Drosophila melanogaster: one gene and its partner. The protein of the gene in region 1 interacts with the protein of each later gene in a pairwise test. Each region holds a gene or a part of one and is shown on either strand. Other genes may lie near its edges.

Region 1 (6,210 bases):
TCTCCCCCTTTTTGCTCCATCTTTCTTTTTTTTTCGGCAACTAAAACAAAGGCCCCATCCCACTGAGCCCCGGCCAGAGAGTAACTTATTTCCTTCCTAGTTTTTGTCGCTCAAAGCCATTAGGGAGTTTTAGCGAAGATTGGCAAAACAGTTGCCACCTTTCAGCGACTCAACGGTTGCTTCCCACAACTCCAAAACTCCAATTACCATGGCTGTGGAGCACTTTGAACTTTAATTTATCTGCTGGGTCGCCGATCTGGTGGCCGGTGGCGCCTCCCGCAGCGACACCAATGCGTATACGTAACGTATTAATTATGCGACCCAAGAGCTCACTTAAAAACAGCAACTGGCACTTTGGAGTCGTACGTTAATTAGCCAAATTAATCACAGACCCCAACGAAATGGGGCCAATCTTGTTGGCATCAATTCGAAGCATTACAAAATGAAAGTTGCGATGAGAACCAATCTCAATTAGAATTCAAATGAGATTTAAACAAGCCACCAGAGACAAATTCCACTGGCAACATGTGGTGCTTGGTTGCATGTTCGGACCAAGAGGCGTAGCAACAAGTTTTTAATGGAAAACCCATTTGTTGCCCCTTAACAACAAATGAACATGCCATTTGTGCATTAAGTGCCGGCCAAGGTGTCAAATGCGACAGTCAGTCGGTCGGTCAGTCCCTTTCGTTTTCAACGGCACTCGGGGGCAGGAAGTTTTGTGATTTAAATTTCCGCTTTTTTCGCAATTGATGTGACAACTATGTGGCTTGGCATGCTTGTTGGTTATAAATTATAATTATTAGTTTTATACTCACACATTAAATTGGTACGATCTACACGGCAGACACTGCTTCCAATAGTATATCATTATAAATGACTATTAGGCGTATAGTTACCATGTCTTACGAATCGGCTTTGATAATGCAATTTAGGATTAGTTCTTATACAAATAAATATACAAATCATAGTCTAAATTATTAAAAAAAAATTTTTTTGTCAGACTCTTAAAAACTTGTAGATTTCTTATATTCAAATTTGTTTTAAAAAAAATGTCCAAGCTACCTTACAACTAATCGAGATTTTCTTAATATAAAATGTAAAAAAAATTTTAGGGAAATGTATTTTGTTGTCCAAGCAGCCTAGTTATCTGACTTATAAAACCAGTTTAAAAGACACTGGAGAATACTGATATATGTATAAGACCTTTTTGGTAAAGTGGTCTTTGTCTTTGCTTAAAGTTATTTACATCTTCTTAAAGCACAAAGATGTAAAATTTTGTTAAAAAGACAAAATTATATGAGCACGTTTTCTGTAAGACTTTATTACAAATCTACAGGACAAACAAAGGCTTAAATATAATTTTGTAGTTTTTCACATTGTATTATGTGCAGAACACTAATAACCTGGATTGTACAAATAATAAAAACTGTTATTATAAATATATTATAATTAATTAATAACAGTGAACGATAAGTTTTCAAGCAATGCCCACTGTGGCAGTGCTGCGAAGCGCCGACTTAACAGCTGTTGCTGCAAAAGTATCCCAAAATGTACTAACGCTTGAAGCAACAGCGTATAGAAAACATGCCCGAGTAAGTTTTCGTTGTTTTTTATTGTTGTTGTGTTTGATTTGTTGTTGTGGCAGTCGCGCTTAGAATTAATATTGCCATTTAGTCTAGTTTAAGCCACTCCACAAAGCGGCGGTGCGCGGCGCTCAACGGAAAGCGGGAAGAAACTGGAATTTGTGGTATTGTGGGCGAACCGAGAAGCCACGAATCATACTTACAAAGTGTCTGGATTTTTCGCCAGCGAATCGGAGTTAAATGATCGAATAGCGGGTAAAATCGGACAGCGGACGCACACGATCCGATCCGCAGAGTCAGATTGGAGTGGAGAAGTGAAGCTAGTGCTACCTCAGAATCCCAGATACCAGCAGTCCCAGTCAAAAGATATTTTAAGCCAACATGCTGCCTCGGTTCCGTTCCTTTTACGGCAAACTGATCATCTTCATCCTAGTCGCCCTCTGCTTCATCCTCTACAGCAAGGTGCAGCAGAATGGTTCACCAGAGGAGCCACCTGTAGCGCCACTCGTCCGGGCGGCCGCTCTGCGAGGTCATGGGCGCGAGCGGTTCGAGGCGTATAGCGACAGTGAGAACGAGATAGCCCGACCCGCCACCCAGTCGCCGTACGAACAAATAATCCAACTGGATCTTCAGAAACAGAAGGTGGGACTCGGCGAACAGGGCGTGGCAGTGCATCTTTCCGGTGCCGCCAAGGAACGAGGCGATGAGATCTACAAGAAGATTGCCCTCAACGAGGAGCTAAGCGAGCAGTTGACCTACAACCGGAGTGTCGGTGACCACCGGAATCCCCTGTGCGCCAAACAGCGCTTTGATTCCGACTCCCTGCCCACCGCCAGTGTGGTCATCATCTTCTTCAACGAACCCTACTCCGTGCTGCTGAGGACCGTGCACAGCACTCTGAGCACCTGCAACGAGAAGGCCCTGAAGGAGATTATTCTGGTGGATGACGGTAGCGACAACGTGGAACTGGGCGCCAAGCTGGACTACTATGTTCGCACGCGGATTCCCTCGGGGAAGGTCACCATTCTGCGTCTCAAGAACCGGTGAGTTGAAGCTACAAGGTGTCTGACCTAAAAAAGTCGAGCTGCCGTTACTCTAACTAAGAACAAATGTATCTGAAATAGCTGTTTGCGCCAAAGACTTCAGAAAAAGATGTTCGGTTTTTCCCAATCTAGAATGGCAAAAATACGTGAGCTATATCCGCAAGATAAAAAGGAATTAAAAGGAATTCCAGTAAAATGGCCAAACTATAGAAATCCAATCTTGTTTATGTGATAAAGTTTTCATCCACTCCAGTACTTTAGAAACCCTCAAGAAATTATAGACTTGATTAGTGGCCAATATAGTAGTTATACTTGCTCATTCACTTTCAATGCGACTTTTGGCATATGCAAATACTAAGTGTTAAACTTAAAGCATGCTTTCGTGTTTTTGAGACACAATTCGAAGCATTTATTATATTTATTTATATATTTATTTATATTTATATATATTAAAAATCGAAATCAAGTGTATATACACGTTTCTTAATTATTGTTCATAAGTGCAACAATGCAAAAAAGGTGAAAATTTGACACCTAGATAATTTCCATTATTGCCTATGGGCTAGGAAAAGTTCAGTAATTTGGCTAATCGAAACGCTGACGACTTGGACTCATTTGAATAACTTGTTTGCCATGTCAGACGCGCATGGAGCATCTTCTTTTTGGCCAGAACCGACAAACGCTCAAAAAACCAAAAACTAAAAACCGAAAAACAAAATGAAGAGAAAACCAGTTCGTCAAGTTACGATTATGTGTGTTGGGCTTGACTTTTTGTAACTCCCAGACTCGGTTTCTGCGTGCATTACACTCGTCAGCCCGTGAGCTTTGCAGACTTTCGGATGACTTCACGCGGTGGATGCCATGTAGGTTGGTGTTAATCGTGCTTGGCAGACGATCGAAGGTTTTCGAATGACCCAATAAATTTGTTTTGTTTTGCCCTTCACATAGCATAAAGAAAGTTTTCGCCTGTCTCTTTGCAGATTGGGTTTGATTCGTGCCCGATTGGCCGGAGCGCGAATCGCCACGGGGGATGTGCTCATCTTCCTGGATGCCCATTGCGAGGGTAACATTGGCTGGTGCGAGCCACTCCTGCAGCGCATCAAGGAGTCGCGGACTAGCGTGCTGGTGCCCATTATCGATGTCATCGATGCCAACGACTTTCAGTACAGCACAAATGGCTACAAATCCTTCCAGGTCGGCGGATTCCAGTGGAATGGCCACTTTGACTGGATCAATCTGCCGGAGCGGGAGAAGCAGCGCCAGCGACGCGAATGCAAGCAGGAGCGGGAGATCTGTCCAGCATACAGTCCCACCATGGCCGGCGGACTGTTTGCCATAGATCGTCGCTACTTCTGGGAAGTGGGCAGCTACGACGAACAAATGGACGGTTGGGGTGGTGAGAACCTGGAGATGTCCTTTCGCATCTGGCAGTGCGGCGGCACCATCGAGACTATTCCCTGCTCCCGCGTTGGACACATATTCCGCGACTTCCATCCTTACAAGTAAGCGAAACGAACTATATACTTATAATTTATGATGAAGCTGACCTTCGAAGCGAACTATAGTAACTTTATTGTCATCTGCCATTATCTATTGCTGCATTATAATGAACTCATTTAAATTCTTTATAGATTCCCCAACGATCGCGATACACACGGTATTAATACTGCCCGCATGGCTCTGGTTTGGATGGATGAGTACATCAACATATTTTTCCTCAACCGGCCGGACCTAAAGTTCCACGCGGACATTGGAGATGTCACCCACCGAGTAATGCTGCGCAAAAAGCTCCGCTGCAAGAGCTTCGAGTGGTACCTCAAGAACATCTATCCGGAGAAGTTTGTGCCCACGAAGGACGTGCAGGGATGGGGTAAAGTGCACGCTGTGAATTCGAACATATGTCTGGACGATTTGCTGCAGAACAACGAAAAGCCCTATAACGCCGGCTTGTACCCATGCGGCAAGGTGTTGCAGAAGTCGCAGCTATTCTCCTTCACCAACACAAATGTCCTGCGCAACGAGCTAAGCTGTGCAACCGTGCAGCACAGCGAGTCCCCACCGTACCGGGTCGTGATGGTGCCCTGCATGGAGAATGATGAGTTCAACGAGCAGTGGCGATACGAGCACCAGCACATCATTCACAGCAACACGGGCATGTGCCTCGATCATCAGGGACTCAAAAGCCTGGACGACGCCCAGGTGGCGCCTTGCGATCCCCACAGCGAATCCCAACGATGGACCATTGAACACTGAGGAGATAGGGTGTAGCGGGGGAATGGGATGGGGACCAAAGCAACTGAGAGATACTGACTAACGCCGACTGAACGGAACTCGAATTCAAATTAGAACAACCCTTTGTAAATACCTAAATCGAATCCTAGAATTATATATTTTGTGTACACAAATCGTGTATATTAAGAAGAAACGGGGTAGCTAGTGCAAATCAAATCGAAAGGAATCAAATCAAAATAAGAAACCAGCAAATCAAACGCAAACGAGTCATTTGGAAAGCTAATAACAATTAACTGTGTGTTGTGTACTTTGTGTGTATAAATATAAATAGAGCAAGTTGTAAGAATAGAGTCGAACCATCCTATGTAAATGATATAGTCGCCATGTGATCGTGTAAGGATGTAAGGCAGGGTGTGGAACGATTGCATTCCATGGCCAGGGATTCAACAAGGAGCTCTCCTGCGTGAGAGCATCCAGCAATAACCAACTATGTAAACTGTAAACTAAAAGTGTTGTAAGCATTTATCTACATAACCATTTTGCCATTTGTTTTCATGAATAAAAAAAAACTTCCGACTGGAGGATGTACATCTTCAAACGAACCATTAGTAGCCTCTGCCTTGGGTCGAAGGTGTTGGGCCAACAAAATGTAACCAGTTAGTAGCAGTCAAGGCCGAGTTCAGCGTTAATATCGCAGTGGCCGCTTGTTGACCCAGCAGCTCTACTGGTCCACATTTACCCCCCAGCTGTGAAATTAAAGCCAACTCCATTAAAAAATGTCCATTGCATGTTTGTATATTTGTATTTATAGATATAAGTACATATTTCATATTCTCTTTTATTTTGTTTTGCTTTGTTGAAGTTGTTCAAATTTGCTGATTACGCTTGTGTTTTTTGTTTAATTTCTCTGGCGTGTTGGCATTAAAATACTTAAATTGGAGTAAAACAATTGTAAATTACCAGAATTATCTTTACTCTTTCCGCTGCTGACAACTATATTCTGCACTCTAGTCTATTCTTTTATGTTCTGCATTTGCAACTACTAGTGTGGAGTGAACTAAACTGACATATCCGTACTTACAAACCGAACGAACCGAACCAAATTCATCAACAATGGTTTTTTTGCTTGGTGCGTCTGTTTGTGTACTATGATAAAGCAGGTCTAGCATATGGTTTAGTTTATTCATTAACTCGTGACTGAACTCTTGGATAGTTTATTTAACGGCTGATGGAGTCGAGCTATAATTGTGGTGTAATAACATTTATTCGTTGACCGTGCTAAAAGCTCTAAGAGTGCGCAAACTTACAAGTAAACTCTTTCCGAAGGCTGCCTTCTGATCCTATATCCCATA
Region 2 (4,000 bases), on another chromosome or scaffold:
GCTTGAGCGCACCCCACCACTTTCTATTTATAAAGGAGCTAACTTACACGTCGCTACACATTATATTATCGCAGATCGCAACGCGATGCCGTTGTTTATAACTGTTCAAAGTATGCGTAAAAGTTGATTAAGTACATGTAATCATAACTCTTGTATCCGCATATATCAAATGCACATATATTCGACCTTACTTGTACCCTGCTCCTGCATTCGTTTCAGCACGAGCGACGTATTGATCATACAGAATACATCGATATTCGCAATACGATTCCCAGTTCAGAAAAAAAAAATTTCGATTGTTGAAATAGTTATCCGAAAATGTTGTGAAACTTTTGTGCTTGCGCAGATCTTTGTTTACGTTGTGAAGTTTTCGTTTTGTTCCCCTATTAACTACAATGTCAATGTATAACGCAAGAACTACTTGATAGCCTAATTTAATTTTAGTCGGCGTTGCTATGCAGCCCAAACTATTTAGTTAATTCGCTTAGTTTTAATTCTCCCTAAGTGCGTCTAAGTTGTAAGCGACGTCTATATAATTGTACAAGCTGATGATGCAAAGCAAACCCCTAACGAACATTATATTACCTAATTGTAGCTGCTATTATAGTTTTTCTAACCGTTTTTGAACAATTTTGTTTGATTTATCTGTAATTGTAAATGCATTTAAGTACTTGTAATATTAAATTTTATGCTTTTAAGTTAAATTCATTTACAATAATTTAATACACACACGAACACACAAAGAGATCGAAAATACACAAAACAGCAATAATAAATGAAAATACAAACTAAAGAACAAGATTCAGGTTTTACACACTGGTCTTTATTTGTAGCTTTCTGCTGAGGGAAACAATTGGATTCATAGTCTTCTATGTAAAATAAATTAGAGCCCACCTCGTTATTTAGGTAACAGACTATACATGCATATTTGAAGAATATTCTGTACCTGCAACGATTATTTTGAAAACTAAGAGAAAGCAAGTATTATATATGTAAGGCCTTAAAGCTAGGTCAACTAGATCTACCGAGTAACAATTAAGCTTGGTCTACTGCGATCAAAAGACTCGGGTGGCGGAATATAGGTGGATGAGTTAATCCCCACGCGCCTTCTTACCACCGCCATGTTTGTGGTCGTTTCCGCCGTGGCGCTTGCGATTGAAGCGCTTGCCCTTGTTCCTGGTGAAATCGCGTCGCTTCTTCATGAATTCTATGGCCTTGTCGATGAACTCCTTCTCCTCCTCCTCGGTGGCCTTTCGCAGCGACAGAGAGACCTCATCTTTGAACTTGAGCTGTGGATAGGCAAGTACAATTACGGATTAGCTGATAAGGGAAAAGTTATAATCCCAATTCTGATTCTTACCTTGCCTTCCTCCACCTTGGCAATGTACTTTTCGGCCGCATCGGCCTCCGTCAGCCGCACAGAGCCCTTGGTTTCGCCCTTGGCGAACTCAATGTAGGCCACCTCGAAGTCCTTGATCTTCTCGAAGGCTTCGCGAATTTCCTCGCGGCTAGATGTCTCCGGAGCGCCCTCGAAGACAACAATGGCGTTCTTGGGCAGCTCGAAGGCAGGCTCAGGCTTGGCCTCCTTTTTGTTTTTGCGCTTCTCGTTCTTCTGGGCGTATTCCTCCTGCTTCTCCTTAAGGTAGTCCACCTGCCATTTACGCAGCAGCTCGCGCTCCTTATAAACGATCTTCTCCTGTTCGAGGAAGGCCTTTGCCTGGTCCTTGGTCTCGAAAGTAAGGAAGATGCTGCCCTTGAACTTGTACGACTTGGTGGGCTTGTCATAGTGCTTGCGCATGGTCAGGTTGACCACTTTGTCGTAGTTGGCAGCAAAGTCGAGCAGTTCGCTAATCTGCGAATCTAGGGGGAAGCCCTTGGCGTATGCGGTCCGCTCCTGGATCTCCTTGCGCCGCTCTTCGTTGTGCTCTGGAATAGGACGCTCCGGATGGCGACGCAGGCTAAGTTTGTCTTCGCTAATCTCCACGAGGCCCTCCTCGGATTTGTTCAGGGCAGCCACGATCTCAGATAAGTCCGTGGACAGGGAGGCCAATCTCTTGAAGGTAACGAGCACCGACAGGGGCACCCAGCCGTCCTCGTTCTTGCCGATCTGCTCGCGCAGAAACTTGTCCCGATTCAGATTGGCATCGCCGAAGTAGTACTCTACCTGCCGGATTATGGCGCGCTCCTGTTTGGTGAAGCCGCCAGCGGCTTCCTCTGCTGCGGGAGCCGGGTCCTTCTTGGCGTCGCCGTTCTTCGCCTCCAGCACCTGCGCCTCGGCGGGCTGTGCTACCTCTTCCTGGGCTTCCACACTCGGGGTTTCAGCAACTTCGGCCATTTTAGCTGTGAAAATTTCGCAAAGAACTGAAATGTGCGCTCACTGAAACACGTGTGAAATCGGTAAAATGAGTCACGGCGTTTGACAACACTAGCCCCGAAATGCCGTGATAGAGATGCACAGGTCAAAAACCGTGACTAGCGCCAAGCATTAACTTGAAAATGCAGTGCGGACATCTTGACCAAAGACCCTAGAATTCTAGTGTCTTTGTCTTGACTATGTATTATTTAAAGGCTTTGAAAATATACGTTTGATTATTTAATTTTTGTAGTAGTGGTAATGGTAATATATCAACAAGAATTAAAAAAAAACCTTTACTCATTTACAATTACCGCGATATTCAAAAACAAGAACATACCAAACTAAAACTTATAATTCAAAATATATGTGACGAAAAGTGGTTTATATTATTTTTGAATGTGATTTATCAATTTACTCCAAAACTATCGATGCAAAGTTACGGAATGCTCCCCGATAGCCCTATCGATGCCGAGGACCTGTTGGCACGTACACATCTTTAGTTTGGCTGCGGCCGATTGCAGCCCTGGTTTTCTAGGTTTCTATTTTGGTCGAGCGCTGTGTTTTATTTATGTTTGCCATGGGAAAAGAGAGTTGCTAAAAGTGCCTAAATACGTGCACCTGGTTCACAAACGGGCGCTCCAACCAGTTGACCCCAGCCCCACGGAATCGGCATATGAGTAAACAAGTATTTGAAAAAAATAGTGAGAGCAGTTCAAATCGCGTCGGCCTAGAAAAGAAACCAAAAAATCGGGCAATAAATAGTGAAAAGTGTGCTCCTTTTGCTATATAACCAATTGTGTATATATAATAACAAGGGTGGATAAGTCGCGCAATCAACGAAACTTGGAAAACTAAACTATTAGTCACTATTCTATTATTGCTCAACGAACGACAGGGAACAACAACAAACGGATCAACAAATGTTTGATAAAACGCAACGCAGCTGAAGGTGAGCGAAAAACTAAAGTGGTTAAGAAAACCCTTCAGACAGCTTGGCTGCAATATATCTAGCCGTGGAAATGAATCAGGTTTTCCAATAACTGCTCGTCTGGCCAAAGGTTCAGTGGCATCTGAAAATTCACCCCACTATGCGTCATCCAAGTAGAGGCATCATAGACATCCCCACAACGGCAGACACAATCAAGCCTTCCTATAAGAACCGCCATGGGTTTTTACATACATATATGGCATATATAATAATAGAGCGGGTTTTCTTCCTTATTTCCCCTTGAGATTTTAATATACCCATACTGCTAAATTCTTCATCGATGAAGATATCTCTTACAAGAAGCATTTAGTTGACTGAATTATTGGTTTTTTTTTTTTTTTTTTTTTTTTTTTGTATTTCAACACTTTCTTTTAAGCAACATATTTATATAGAAAATCTAATACATTTTTAGACACATGACAAAATCCTATTTACGTTAAAAACAGTTTCAATCGTTTAGTCCCAACAAAGGACATTTAAAGCTTAAAGCTCAAGAATACATTTTATGTAATGACTCCTGTACTTTCGGCACAACTGTTGTTCAACTTGCTGCTGCTCGTGCAATAGTAATTTGTTGCCGGTTTCTGGAGTTCAGAGGTCCGCCTGCATAATCCATTGGGTCAATAGCAGGGCTCCTCGTGGGGCATCCGTTCCAG

Evidence for each region.
Region 2: the proteins of Pgant1 (region 1) and La interact in a two-hybrid assay, tested with the Drosophila melanogaster proteins (one large-scale study listed by BioGRID).

Annotation. Positions count from the first base shown.
Region 1 is NT_033778.4:15,510,140-15,516,349, forward strand, and holds Pgant1 (polypeptide N-Acetylgalactosaminyltransferase 1), read left to right. Parts: upstream 1-1,570; 5' UTR 1,571-1,592; intron 1,593-1,672; exon of another isoform or gene 1,673-1,674; 5' UTR 1,675-1,964; coding exon 1,965-2,626; intron 2,627-3,427; exon of another isoform or gene 3,428-3,482; coding exon of another isoform or gene 3,483-3,493; intron 3,494-3,606; coding exon 3,607-4,128; intron 4,129-4,257; coding exon 4,258-4,879; 3' UTR 4,880-5,458; downstream 5,459-6,210. UniProt on the Drosophila melanogaster protein: Catalyzes the initial reaction in O-linked oligosaccharide biosynthesis, the transfer of an N-acetyl-D-galactosamine residue to a serine or threonine residue on the protein receptor.
Region 2 is NT_033779.5:20,347,590-20,351,589, forward strand, and holds La (La autoantigen-like), read right to left. Parts: upstream 2,424-4,000; 5' UTR 2,336-2,423; coding exon 1,361-2,335; intron 1,290-1,360; coding exon 1,092-1,289; 3' UTR 804-1,091; downstream 1-803. UniProt on the Drosophila melanogaster protein: May be involved in transcription termination by RNA polymerase III. Binds RNA and DNA. Binds to precursors of RNA polymerase III transcripts. May play a specialized role during fly development.